Saccharomyces cerevisiae S288C: one gene and its partner. Changing the gene in region 1 together with any one later gene gives a genetic interaction. Each region holds a gene or a part of one and is shown in the gene's direction. Other genes may lie near its edges.

Region 1 (9,405 bases):
ATAATGATGATAATCGGGAAATTCTCTTGGATTCTGGAGGTAAAAAGCTTCTTAATTATTATATAGGCGGGGTTCTTCAGCTGGACGAAATTTCTTCTGACAAGAGTGAGGATAGCTTAGTGGATAAATTACAGATGCGGTCAGTTGTGCTACTAAGGAATTTTTGCATTGGAAATCTCAAGTATACAGAAAATTTGGCTCCCTTCATTAGAGGTCCATTATTTGTTTTGTTGAAAACCACACAATATAGCTATTTGTCATCTCCCGAAAAAGTTGTTTTAGGTTCAGATTTATTGAACGATATTTTAAAAGTCAATTACTCAAATGTTCAAATAAGCGATCTCTTTTTCTTAAGCCAGTACATCAAAAAAATCTCTTCAAATGTGCAAAATAAAGAATTGCAGGCAATGGAAGATGGAGCAGTCGAAGCATATTCAAATACTGAAACTCAGAAGTTCGCTGGCCAAGGAAATCAAGAGTACATCGAAAAAGAGGAAGAAGATGATGAGGAGGACGTTAATTGTGAATTGCTATTAAATCTGTCAACATGTCTTGAAACTATTGTAGCCAAGGATGAAACTATAAACTTTACCAATGAGGAGCAGCTTGTGCTAAGCATGCAAAAAAATTTAATATTGTCCTTAGTTTGCTTAGAATCAAAAACCTTCAATAATAAGCTAATTGTAATGAGAAGACTCATATCGTGCGCAGGCAACATCTCCGCCAACCTAACAAACTCTAACAAACGAGAGCAATCATTATGTATCGAAACTATTAAGAGTTCCGCAAGTAGTTATGCCCTAGCCGCAGCTTTGATGATATTATGTAACTCAGTTGCATCCAAAAGTGACGCTGTCGCGCTACTGAAGCTCATATCTCTTAGTGAATTGATTCAAGTTGGTAGCTTGCTACAAGACCCACTACAATATCAAGGATTCCTAGATTTACTGAGGAAGCTGTTAAATCTGGAAAATACCATGTGGCTAGATATCAAGGACCTCTTCACCCTATTTCAGATTATGAGAAGATGTCACGAGCAAACTAAATATTATAACAACCTGAGATCGTTATTAACAAATTTATTAAACAAAACTTTAACGGTGCTTCCAAGTTCAAAAATACACAATTCAATAAGCAGTGATCCAACAATTATCTCTTTTATAGCAGAGCATGGAACGTTAACGTCCTGTATTGCGATGGATAAGCTGCTTGTGTCCAAGAAAGCCCTTCCTAAAGAAGCTATTACATCCCTATGGGATTCGATCTTCAAATTCCAAAATTTAGGTCAAGCAGAACAACTAAGCATCTCAGATTTATTTCATATCACAAAAACGGTTGGAATTTATTTAAAAGATTCAAGTGTAACAGCTGACGTGAATCCGATTGAAAATATACTATTCAAGGATTACATTCAAAAGTTAACCCTGATATTAGAGACCATACTTTCATTTAAAGAAAATAAAGATAAGGGTAGCGAGAGTTGTTTCAACAATGGGAAATTTATAGCGGGCATAATACTAAACATTGTGAAAAATACGAAATGCTTAACGCCAGAGGAACAAAATTTAGAAGCGCTTGCAAAATCGTTCTTTTAGACACGTAATCGCCTTACCTACGAGGGGAGAAAACGTTCCCTCTGCATGTATATATATATATATATATATAAATATTAAATCTTGAATATTGTTGGATTAAGCATGTGCTTGACAAATGGTGTATGGGTTTGTAGACGATGAGAGTGGAAGGGAGATTAAAAGTTTATTGCAGATGCGAACATCTGCACAAAAGTACTTGAATGTACTAAGCAGAAAAAGTTCTAATACATATTAGCAGGAGGCCCAACAGTCACACAAGTTCAGCAGAACTGCCAATTAATCGAAAAGAATATGTATGTTTCTAATGGGAAAGACACTTGCCAGTTGTTGGGGCCCGTGTCTCTTTTTGTCCAGACATTGATGGGTATGACAGCCGTGATTGTGTTATTGGTGAAAAGAAACTATGAGCATCCAAGGAGAAAAATGATTGTGTGGAGTTATGACATTGGAAAACAAATCATCGGCTCTCTTGGAATCCATTTTTTGAATCTAGGCATCAGCATACTGAAGAAAAGACGAAGGTCACTCTTCGCAATCACTGCAAAAGGCAATGATGATGAGGATCAATGCGATTGGTATTTTCTTAACTTACTCCTGGATACTACTGTTGGGATTCCCATTCTTTGGTTGTGCTTATACATAATTGAAAAAGTGCTAAAATCCTTACACTTCCAAAACATTGAAAGTGGTAATTATTTTCCATCTAAAACCGTTGGGAGCCACCCCAGAAAACCCTTATTCTCTGCCTTCGTGAAACAGCTGCTTATATTCATTGTTGGGCTGGGCGTGATGAAGTTCTGCGTGTTTCTAATACTAAACTACTTAGAAGACTTGGCATACTGGTTCGCCGATCTTATCCTTGGCTGGTCAGATTCATGGCCAAACTTTCAAGTTTTTCTGGTCATGTTTGTCTTTCCTATCTTACTGAATTGCTTCCAGTACTTTTGTGTCGACAATGTCATCAGGTTACATTCTGAGAGCCTAACGATAACCAATGCAGAGAATTTTGAAACGAACACATTCCTAAATGACGAAATTCCTGATTTATCGGAAGTCTCAAATGAAGTGCCTAACAAGGATAACAACATTTCCAGCTATGGTAGCATAATATAGTATTCCAAGGATAAGGAAAGCATGCACTGTTTATTTCCTTTCCTTGCTTAATTGATTTTTTTTAAAGGGAACAAACATTTTGATTTCAATTTCCACAAGCCTAGACTCTTCAACACATAATCTGTGGGTTATTGTTTGGGAAAGCATTCTCCGCTAGAAGAATGAAACTGGCGCTCAGGTTTGATTCTATAACTACGGCAGTTTTTCCTATTCTATTTTCGTTTTTTGATTTTCCCGCCGCATTGGATATTCAATTCGCGACGCTAATAATTGGCATTTCGTGTTCTTAAGTAATTTCGTGTTTCAAATAACCGTAAACAGAGAAAGACCCAAGAATTTCAGATGGCTTAGAAGAGGTAGACATTAAATCAATCTGTATGTGATGGAGAGGGAGTGTATTTAAAAGACGTAAGAAAATGAATTATCAAGATCCGTTATGGCCATCTAGTCTCTTTCTTGTACACTAGTTGTCTAACACAACCAACAAATTAGAATATATATCGCAATGATTTTCAAAATATTGTGTAGTTTACTACTGGTAACCTCCAACTTCGCTTCTGCCTTATATGTCAATGAAACTACGAGCTATACACCATACACGAAGACATTAACTCCAACATACTCTGTTTCACCTCAAGAGACAACATTAACGTACAGCGATGAAACAACCACCTTCTACATAACATCTACTTTTTACTCTACCTACTGGTTCACTACCTCCCAATCAGCTGCTATTATTAGTACACCTACTGCAAGTACACCTACTGCAAGCACGCCTAGCCTAACTACGTCCACAAATGAATACACCACCACCTATTCTGACACAGACACCACCTACACGTCTACTCTGACCTCTACTTACATAATAACTCTATCTACGGAATCCGCCAACGAGAAGGCTGAACAGATTTCCACGAGCGTCACAGAAATTGCTTCTACAGTAACCGAATCGGGCAGTACATACACCTCTACTTTGACCTCAACCTTATTGGTTACTGTATATAATTCCCAAGCTAGTAATACAATAGCGACATCCACAGCTGGGGACGCCGCCTCCAATGTTGATGCCTTAGAAAAGTTAGTCTCTGCTGAACATCAATCTCAGATGATTCAAACCACATCCGCCGATGAACAGTACTGTAGTGCGTCTACCAAGTATGTTACAGTTACAGCTGCTGCAGTTACCGAAGTGGTTACTACTACGGCGGAGCCTGTTGTTAAATACGTTACTATAACTGCCGATGCTAGTAATGTTACAGGTTCTGCTAACAACGGTACCCACATTTAATGCGTGACGTTGAATCGAGAAAAAAAGCTACTTTTAACGAAACCTTTACTAGTTATCCTATATGGGATCACTAGTATTTTTTGATTTACGATTCAATAAATAGACTAGAGACAACTTTCATATCATTCCTTAAAAAATACATAAAGCGCAAATTCAACCCCATTGATACATATATAAGTAGTTCTATTATGACTTTCAAGAACAATAGTAGCTTTTCTAAATAATCAATAAGTAGCACAAAATCTGTCTGTTTGTACGCTTATATTTAGTTTGCGTTTATTTGCGAGCGCCACGAGAAGGGGCAGGAAAAAAAGATCAATAGTTTGCAATAAACATCGAATGATGATTTCAACCACCGATACATAAACCAGCGAGGCTTTCAAGGAAGAATGAACGTGAACTCGTCAACTCAAAAAGAAAATGAGCCAGCATATTAGGAAATTAGATTCTGATGTTTCTGAAAGACTTAAATCTCAGGCATGCACGGTATCGCTAGCATCAGCGGTTAGAGAAATAGTTCAAAATTCTGTAGATGCACACGCTACCACTATCGACGTCATGATCGACCTCCCTAATTTGAGCTTTGCAGTTTACGATGATGGTATTGGTTTGACTCGAAGTGACCTAAATATATTGGCCACACAAAATTATACTTCCAAAATACGAAAGATGAATGATTTAGTAACGATGAAAACCTACGGTTACAGAGGAGACGCCCTATATAGCATTTCTAATGTCTCTAATCTGTTTGTTTGTTCCAAGAAAAAGGATTACAACTCTGCATGGATGAGAAAATTTCCATCCAAAAGCGTCATGTTGAGTGAGAATACCATACTCCCAATAGATCCTTTTTGGAAAATTTGTCCTTGGAGCCGAACAAAGTCTGGTACTGTTGTTATTGTTGAAGATATGCTGTATAATTTACCTGTCCGGCGCAGAATACTAAAGGAAGAACCCCCTTTCAAGACTTTTAACACAATAAAGGCAGATATGCTACAGATACTGGTAATGCACCCGATGATTTCACTCAACGTACAATATACAGACAAACTCAGAATCAATACAGAAGTTCTTTTCCGCTCAAAGAACATAACTGAGGGGTTAACAAAGCACCAGCAAATGTCTCAAGTACTGAGAAATGTGTTTGGGGCAATAATACCACCGGATATGCTTAAGAAAGTTTCCTTGAAGTTTAATGAATATCAGATTGAAGGGATCATATCGAAGATGCCCGTTGGATTGAAGGATCTTCAATTTATATATATCAATGGCAGACGTTATGCGGACAGCGCCTTTCAAGGATACGTCGATTCTTTATTCCAAGCACAAGATTTCGGGGAGAAAGGCATGAGTTTACTCAAAACTAAAAGCGTGGGAAAACCGTATCGATCACATCCCGTCTTCATCCTTGATGTTCGGTGCCCCCAAACTATCGATGACCTGTTACAAGATCCAGCAAAGAAAATTGTTAAGCCTTCCCATATACGTACCATTGAACCATTGATCGTTAAGACCATTCGCTCCTTTCTGACATTTCAAGGATACTTAACGCCTGATAAATCAGATTCATCTTTCGAAATAGTCAATTGTTCACAGAAGACGGCAACATTGCCTGATAGTCGAATCCAAATCAGTAAACGTAATCAAGTATTAAATTCAAAAATGAAGATTGCACGCATTAATTCATACATAGGAAAACCCGCTGTCAATGGATGTAGAATAAACAATAGTACAATAAACTACGAAAAAATCAAGAATATAAGAATCGACGGTCAGAAATCAAGGTTACGGAATAAACTCTCTTCCAGGCCCTACGATAGTGGTTTTACAGAAGATTATGACAGTATAGGAAAAACCATAACAGATTTTTCAATATCAAGATCTGTCCTGGCAAAATATGAAGTGATTAATCAAGTAGATAAAAAATTTATTCTCATACGTTGTTTAGACCAATCTATTCATAATTGCCCACTATTAGTTCTAGTTGATCAACATGCTTGCGATGAGAGGATAAGACTAGAAGAGCTATTTTATAGCCTGTTGACAGAAGTTGTAACCGGAACTTTTGTTGCACGAGACCTCAAGGATTGTTGCATTGAAGTTGATCGTACTGAGGCTGACTTATTTAAGCATTATCAAAGTGAATTTAAAAAGTGGGGAATTGGCTATGAAACAATTGAGGGAACAATGGAAACCTCACTTTTGGAAATTAAAACACTGCCTGAGATGTTAACTTCCAAATATAACGGGGATAAAGACTACTTAAAAATGGTCTTGCTGCAACATGCTCATGACCTGAAGGATTTCAAAAAACTTCCAATGGATTTATCCCATTTCGAAAACTACACTTCGGTTGATAAATTATATTGGTGGAAGTACTCAAGCTGCGTTCCAACGGTCTTTCATGAAATTCTTAACAGCAAGGCATGCAGATCTGCTGTTATGTTTGGAGATGAATTAACCCGGCAAGAGTGCATAATTTTAATTAGCAAGCTCTCGCGATGCCATAACCCATTCGAATGCGCCCACGGGAGACCTTCTATGGTACCCATTGCAGAATTGAAGTAAAGAGAACCTTAATCCTGGAACAAGGTTTGTCGCCTGCATTTTAAATTGCGCGGATATGCAAAACAGAAGATTACCTCATCACGTTGTCAAAACCTGGAAAAATTTAAAAAACAAAAACAAAAAAGAAACGTGCGATACAATACTGCTCCACTGTTGCATTACCGTTTTATGTATCTCTGATATTATAAATGTAGCCCTAGATTTATATGAATATATATATATATATATATACCATTTATATATGCAAACACAAAATAACCTAAAATTTAAAAATGACTATTGATGGAGACGTACATGAAATTTCCCCATTTTTCCAGGTTAGGCAAACTAAATGGGGCGGTAGGGCTTGTTTCAGTAATGGTAATATTCCTAAAGGGACAACAGTCTTGCAAGTCAGTAATTTTACAGGAACATCTATTTCCTATGAGTTCAGGAAGGAAGTTTGTCACAATTGTTTCGCATACGCTAATGCGAAAACTATGAAGTACAAACTAAACTACGATTACCTGAGAGATTTGGTTTGTAATGCACACTACCAAATTAACCCTAAGAAGTTTCTGGGCGCTGGACTGTGGTTCTGTTCAGAACATTGCAGAACTTCTTATCTTCAAATACCAAATATCATTGAATTAATTGAATGTTATGAGATATTACTGCATCATTTTCCAAGCATGCTGAAAAGATATAATTATACCTCTGAACAGGAGGAAAAATTAAACTCTATCTTAATTTCGGAAAATGTCATACAGTCTTCATGGGATGAGATTGAAAGTAAATGGATACCGCGCATCAACAACATGAAATCTGCGAAGAGAATAAATCAATTACCACCCACTTGCGAAGATGAATATTGCTGCATTAGGTTTGTGTGCGAGAGTTTGTTTAATCTTAAATATATGGATCCTCAGTGCATAACATACCGAGCTTTCAATATGTTACAATCGAATGAGCTTAGCAAAATATCTAAATTTCCTGTCTTACTGCACTTTCAAAAATTAGTATTTCAAACACTCTATATTCTATTACCTTCACATTTGCATAGAATGCTCTCCATACCGCTATTGAGACATATATTAGGTACTGAATATGGGAATGCTTTTGGTTTATGGCAAGAGGGCGAAGCCTCAGACAGCAGAGAATATTTTGGATACTGGGTATTTCCAGAAGCCTCCTATTTCAACCACTCTTGTAACCCCAATATAACGAAATATCGTAAAGGTAATTCAATGCTATTCACTATGAATAGAGATATAAAAAAGGATGAGCAGATCTGTATCGATTATTCCGGGGTACTGGACTTACCAACAGTAAAACGCCGGGCCTTTTTGGCCGACAGTTGGTTTTTTGATTGTGCTTGTGAAAGATGTAAATCAGAATTGCAATCTGTCCATTAGCGCTTCTTCCAACGCAGATTTACTAACACTTAAGCTCGAAGATAAATCGTCATCTGAACTACCGCACTCCATTTCTTTATTAATACCATCCTTATCCAATTTGTCATTAGGCTTATTCTCACTATCCGATGTTTTCTTGTGAATGTTCAAAATTTTGGAAGTTTGCAAATGTTGTAACGCCTCATTTGTTACTTCTGTCTCAACTTCTTCAGAATCCTGTCTTTCCGTGGTCAGTGGGCTTGCGGATACATTTAATAGATTATCATTTTGTAAAGTAGGGGTATATTTATGTATTAAATCAGACATCCCTTCATTCACTTGATCATTTGAATACTTCTCAAGATCTCTTTTTTTCTCCAATTGTAGTTGTAAAAGCTCTAAGTGTTCAGCAAATAATTTATATGTTCTCTTTTTAAGAAAAAATTCAGGCGTTTCAAATATTTTTGATAAATTCTGCCAATCTATTTGATCTTGTGAATAATTCAAATTTGATACCATTGTCCAAAGCTGTCGCTCCTTTGTTCCATTCCACTCAAATTTGGGAGGATCCAAGAATCCCTGTGGTCTCCTACCCTTAACTTTGATATATACAACTGTGTTTGTACTATTCATAATCATGAAAGTCAAGTAGGAAAATGCACAGCAGTACAATTATGTATGTCTCTTCTTGATAAGTATTCACTAACACCCCTTTATTTTCACCTTGAATCATTTTTTTGACGAGTGCAGTGCGTCTAGAAATAGTGTACTTGAAGAAAAAAGCCATCTCTGTAATAGAAGCACAAAACAAGAGAAAGTATTTGAGTCAATACAAAACTACAAGTTGTGGCGAAATAAAATGTTTGGAAATGTCGAGGGAGTCGAACGACACAATACAGAGCGATACGGTTAGATCATCCTCTAAATCAGACTATTTTAGAATCCAGCTAAATAATCAAGACTACTATATGTCAAAACCCACCTTTTTGGACCCATCGCACGGTGAAAGCCTGCCCTTAAACCAGTTTTCACAGGTCCCAAACATCAGGGTGTTTGGTGCTTTACCCACAGGGCATCAAGTATTGTGCCACGTCCATGGCATTCTACCTTACATGTTCATCAAGTATGATGGACAAATAACTGACACGAGTACATTGAGACACCAAAGATGTGCCCAAGTTCATAAAACGCTGGAAGTAAAAATTAGGGCATCCTTTAAAAGGAAAAAAGATGATAAACACGATTTAGCCGGCGACAAACTTGGAAATCTCAATTTTGTCGCTGATGTCTCTGTTGTAAAGGGTATACCATTTTATGGTTACCACGTTGGCTGGAATCTGTTTTACAAAATTTCTTTGCTTAATCCTTCTTGTCTAAGTAGGATTTCGGAATTGATTAGAGATGGCAAGATTTTCGGAAAGAAATTCGAAATTTATGAATCACATATTCCTTACTTGCTACAATGGAC
Region 2 (6,033 bases), on another chromosome or scaffold:
CTGGTTGGGCGAAGATTAAATGCAGCGGCCATACTAGCTTCTTTGCTTCAAGTAAGGGAGTTAAATACGAAGCTATAGTAGGTGTGTGGCCGTTGAGATGTCCTAAGTCAGGAACAACAGCAACCCATTTCAAATTTTTTTTATTTTGTAAGTTTATACCATGAGATACACTTAACGTCGTCAAGAGAAGTTCTGTATGTTTTGGTGGCGTTATCAAGTATCCTTGCTTGGAAGCAGGGGCCAAATGCATCCTTATTCCAGATGGTGCTAAATAAAGCGCATGCTTTGAAAGGAAAGATTCTTCCAAATTTTCCTCCTTCATTGGTACTAATCCCATGTTCTTGGCACATAACGACACTGTGAGATCTCCGTTTACAAAAAGGTGTGGTTCTAGCTGTACGAGATAATTTGGCACTCCGCTTAATGATATGCAGGCATTCCCAAATTGTATTAGCTTATTGTGTGAACCTAATGCCAAATTAATGTAAATTTTCCTTCTTAAAGCTTTTAAAAAAAGAGCATAGTGTGGCGGTAAGTTTGGCTTTGAATAATCGGCAGTGAAAGTTCCGATTTTATCTGGGCTCACTGGTTTATGTTCTATCGCAGGAGGTGTCGGTACCGGATCATCATTTATACTGAAACACCATAAATCCCTTGAAAGCAGCGCAACTAGAGTCTTTGGATCCTGCTTCCGTAGCATGAATTCCATTTGGATAGACCATTGATCGTTTTGGGCTTTAGAAATGTACTGATGATAGTTGATCTTTTTGATTTTCTCCACTCTATAGAAGCTGGATAAAACATCCTCAAGTCTGTACGTGGAAGCGTCAGAACTCATACTACCTCCTCAGATCTTGATATCCAGCTTAAACGTTCTTAAAATATAGTTACACCTTACTTCAACAAAGTAATTTCCGATTTCACACCATTCGTCTTAAAGGGTTGTTGTAAGAGTGTACTACAATAAATACTACACTACTTGATCCGGCACTACCCGGTCCCTCCACCTGAAAAAATGTTTCAATTCTTCGCTTTGTTAAGCGCGAATATATCGATGCTATTTTCTAAGGATTGTTTATTCAGTATGATAAAACAATGAACAGCAGGAAATGCGGAGGAGAATCACTTACTCGGCTGTTATTCATCTTCTTATTATAAAAGAATTGCTCCATTTTGGTTCGATCCCTTAATGCCTTACAAAATCAACCGAATGAAAAATTCGCTCGAGATAAATGAAACCGGAGGTACCTTATTGGTTGATGAGCGGAAGAGATTAAGAATAGGTGAGTTATATCGCTACAAGTTTTCCGTGAACAAAGATGTAATTAAGGAACAAGGGCTAGATGTATCGCATCTATTCTTGAGGATCAAGAACGAGGAAAGCGCGCTTCTGCGACCGCTTTATTTGACGGGGCCATATTCTTTTTACATCGATGTTAGGCCGCATAACTATAATGAGAATCGCAAGTTTCCAGGGAAGGAAATTATTCCATTTGTTGAAAATCTAAAGCCGGACGAAAGATTTAAAGTAAAAATATTATTGAATGAGAATTCTAGAGTTGGCGACACTTCTCTTTATTCATGGACAATAGATATAATTTCGCAGTTGGCGGTAACCACAATTCCGAAGCTGGAATTTTCGTTTAGGATAGGGACTACAAGGAAGGTGGTCAAGAAATCGAATGGGCTCTTTAAGAGTATTGAAGGTGTCTCTTTAGAGATGTGGGATACTGAAACCCTTTGGGATTTACCACCAAAATTTCCAGAAAAGCCTGTACATCTCGTTATTATGACACATGGTATATTTTCTAATATCGGGTGTGATATGCTATATATGAAAGATAAAATTGAAGAAATGACGTTTCCTATGGATGAGTCTATTAATCCGAATATAATTGTTCGAGGTTTTATGGGCAACGTCGGGAAATCAGGTCACGGTATACATTGCTTGGGCGTTAGAGTTGGAAAGTATGTGCTTGAGACTGTTGATAAGTTGAATAAAAAGTACAAAGTAGACAGGATATCATTCATTGGCCATTCCCTAGGAGGGCCAACTCAATCCATGGCGGTGCGTTACATAAGTATTAAAAGACCAGATTTTTTTGATGCAGTTAAAGGTGTTAAACCCGTTAATTTTATTACGTTAGCTAGTCCTTTCATCGGTGTTATTGGCGACTTCCCCTTTTATTTGTCTGTTCCACTGGATATGGGCGCGCTTGGTTTGACAGGAAGGGACTTGAATTTAAAATATACACCGTTAACGTCCAAAGATGGGTTGTATGCAGACGATGAAGTGTACCCAGAACATTCCAAGTACATATTAGAAATTCTTCCACAGGCGCCGGCTAAAAAAGTATTTGAGTCTTTTAAGAGGAGAACGATATATGCCAATGTCATGGATGATGGTATTGTTCCATTACGAACTGCTGCACTTTTGTATCTGGATTGGCGAAGCATACACAAAGTCCAGAAAATTAGGAAAAAAAATAAGAACTCTCCAACTTCAAGCGAGTTTGTGTCCTCCGATAGCCCAGAGAGTAGTGGAGCATCATCACCTTCAAACGAAAATGGTAACAACGTCGGGGAGATTCCTGCAGAAAGTCCAAACAAAAAAGCGACGTTGCAGTGGACTTTACCTCAGGCCGTTATCCACGGAAGTAAAATAAATAAATATAAGAGAGGACAAACTAATGAAGCCAACTCAGATTCGGATAATGAACAAGGAGTATTTCTTGATGGTCAAAAGTTCGAACCTCCAAAAGAAGCCAATACTGTATTGTCTGCATTATCGGTATTGACAGCTGCCATACCAGATCAGGAGTATATCAAAAACCCGGCTGTAAGGAAAGATGAAGTCATTCATGATAAACTTTATCACCCGGAAGAATTACCTCCGCCGCATTATGAGAATAGGCCTATCGTTAAGAAGCTTATATATCCTAATGAGAGTGTCAACAGGATTCAAGAGCGCATTGCTAGAGAATGGCAAGAAACGATGACTTGGAGAAAAGTATTAGTGCAGATCCAGCCTGATTCCCATAACAATATCGTAGTAAGAAGAAGATTTGTTAATTTATACGGCTATGTTGCTGTGGAACACATGGTTGAGCACCATTTCGGATCCAAGGTTTGTAGCGAGCTGGCTGAAGATGCAAATGAGCCAAAAGATGAGCCAAACCAGTCATCGCAAGCGGACCGGTCGAATGAGTATAACGAGGGGGAAATATCAAAGGGCGCGGAGAATGCCACATGAGTTTGATGATTTATAATGTATACGTAAAAAAAAATATCATAGATGAAATAAAAGTTTCTTAAGAATATCACAATGACCACAATAAAGTGTGGATGTTGTTTAAAAAAAAGATAGCCCTGTAGGGGGCTCGAACCCCTAACCTTATGATTAAGAGTCATACGCGCTACCGATTGCGCCAACAAGGCTATTTCGTTGGAAAAACTAATTAATTTTGGAAGTAATAGGACATTAAACATGTTTGTTGCAATGAAACTTTAAAATATCATCTGTTTAGTTTTATTCATGTTACTTGTTGGAATAAAAATCAACTATCATCTACTAACTAGTATTTACGTTACTAGTATATTATCATATACGGTGTTAGAAGATGACGCAAATGATGAGAAATAGTCATCTAAATTAGTGGAAGCTGAAACGCAAGGATTGATAATGTAATAGGATCAATGAATATTAACATATAAAACGATGATAATAATATTTATAGAATTGTGTAGAATTGCAGATTCCCTTTTATGGATTCCTAAATCCTCGAGGAGAACTTCTAGTATATCTACATACCTAATATTATAGCCTTAATCACAATGGAATCCCAACAATTACATCAAAATCCACATTCTCTACATTACTAGTATATTATCATATGCGGTTTAAGAAAATGGTATAAAGATTAAGAAACAGTCATGAAAATTTAGTGAAGCTGAAATGCCAGTATTGATAATACGATAGAATAATGAATGACAAAGTATATAAGGAAGATGAAGTAACATTATTATGGAGAACTATCGACTCCCTTTTGTGAATTTCTATATCCTCAAGGAGAATTGCTTGTATACTATGTATATATAATATTATAACCCTTGACAACAATGGAATAATTAGTCCTTAAACGTTAGACTGGCTGGGACAGCACGACCTCTGTTGGCTAATTTTACTTTTCCCACAACCGTAGATCTTGATTTCATGACTGTTTTCGTGGTAATGTCCGAATGATACATATATAAGTTATATGCTTTCACTTTATAAGTATTAGCGTTTTTACTCACCATCCACTGCTTTGAGAAGATGTGGTCAGCAACCACGCAATACATCACATATTTTGGCACGGGTGATGTACCGATCTAATGGCTAAGCTTCCTTTTGGAAGCTGATAGAGATCCAGATTTGCATCTCTATCGCTATTGTCGTCATCGACACTGCTCACTTAGTGCTGCAGGTAAATTCCGTTTTTTTCCAAATTAATATTTATGAACGTTATGATGTCAAGTTTTTTCAAGAAGTAATTATCCGCGAAAAAAAGAATATAAAAAATACAAATGTGCATAGATCCTCACATAGTATACAACTAAAAAGCAAACAAAAGAACATCCTCAAATGACTGTTATAAAGACAGAACCAACAACAGAAGTGACATTATATTCTCCACCATCAAAAGAATCTTTAAGTAAAGATGACGCCCACAGAAAAAAACAAAATAATAAACCACCTTCGAGTATAAATAGCCGCTCAGGACCAAATAAGCATAAACTTGCCGCCAAAGCACCGGAAAAGAAAATCAATAACACAGATAAACAAGACCTCTCTGCCTTTTTATTAAATCCTTCCCTTATTGTTAAACCTTCTGAGAGCAAAAAAAAAGAAAATATTGTGGCCTATAATGATACACCAGGTATAAAAACAGAACATACAGCGTTTCAGCCGCTGACACCAATTTCGAAAAAAAGGGCCCTGAAAGAGAAAGCAGCATCAGAAAAATGTGATAGCTTTGATCTTTCCAGAGACGAGAAGCCTTATATTCAGAAAAAGTCAAAGACGCTTTCTTCCGTCACAGAGATTAATTCCTCAGAATATAAACTCTCACTAAATGGCGAAAATACATCATCCCCAGCTAAGGAAAAATCGCAAGAACCCATAGAAAATCCTGGAAGTTACCAAAAAACAAGAAATTACCTTTTTGAAAAGCCCGATCCTTTAGACACGTGCCTTCAGGACTACTCGAGTATGCTACCGTCAAATGTAGCAGAAGAAGATCAAGAATATTTTATCAGCGTAGCTGATTCGACATTGGAGGAGTGGACTAACAAGGGCCAGGAAATTATTGACCAACAGTTCCAGCTCTACCAAGAAATAATCAAGAAACGAATAGAACTAAGCTACAAATTTAAGGGTATTATTTCTGTAATCAATGATAGGGCAGATGCCCTAGAAGAACAGGGTCAACAACTAGAAGGAAAAATTAAGAAAGTTAAAACTTTGGCTAATGAAATTCTCAATATTATATAAACGCTTCATAAAGTTGATCAAAGGTGCTATATTCAGTAACAAAATGCTTATAATTAAGAGAATACATCCCTAATAATGAATCATATCTTTCATATTTTAGATGATATTGAAATTATTTAACTATACATAAGGAGAGTCCTCAATGAAATGGAGTAAAACAGACGACATGATAATAACTATATCAATTCATGCTTTTTAGTTTCTCTTTCTGTAACGTCTGTCTCTTTGAGCGGAAACGTTGATGACAGATAATGGCAACTTCAAACCCAAAGATTTAACCAAGTCAGAGGTTTGGTTGTCAACGTTCAAAACACCGTTAGAACGAGACAAGTCCAAAGCAGAGACTTCTGGGACGTATTGATCCTTTCTTTCTCTTTCTTCTTCTTGCAATTTGAAAGAAATACCTCTAACTGGACCCTTTTGGATTCTTTTCATCAAATGAGTAGTGTAACCAGCAATCTTGTTTCTCAATCTCTTGGATTGGATAGTTGCAATTTCAT

Evidence for each region.
Region 2: of MLH3 (region 1) and ECM11, changing one suppresses a phenotype caused by changing the other (phenotypic suppression), as found in Saccharomyces cerevisiae (one study listed by BioGRID).

What each region holds. Positions count from the first base shown.
Region 1 is NC_001148.4:236,509-245,913, reverse strand, and holds MLH3 (mismatch repair protein MLH3), read left to right. Parts: upstream 1-4,416; coding exon 4,417-6,564; downstream 6,565-9,405. Other genes in the region: BEM4 (Bem4p), read left to right, coding at 1-1,595; YPL162C (uncharacterized protein), read left to right, coding at 1,887-2,708; SVS1 (Svs1p), read left to right, coding at 3,214-3,996; SET6 (Set6p), read left to right, coding at 6,837-7,958; ATG29 (Atg29p), read right to left, coding at 7,935-8,576; REV3 (DNA-directed DNA polymerase), read left to right, coding at 8,807-9,405. UniProt on the Saccharomyces cerevisiae protein: Involved in DNA mismatch repair (MMR), correcting insertion-deletion loops (IDLs) resulting from DNA replication, DNA damage or from recombination events between non-identical sequences during meiosis.
Region 2 is NC_001136.10:1,349,101-1,355,133, forward strand, and holds ECM11 (Ecm11p), read left to right. Parts: upstream 1-4,624; coding exon 4,625-5,533; downstream 5,534-6,033. Other genes in the region: SSN2 (Ssn2p), read right to left, coding at 1-838; YDR444W (putative hydrolase), read left to right, coding at 1,190-3,253; 40S ribosomal protein eS17 RPS17B, read right to left, coding at 5,729-6,033. UniProt on the Saccharomyces cerevisiae protein: May be involved in cell wall organization and biogenesis.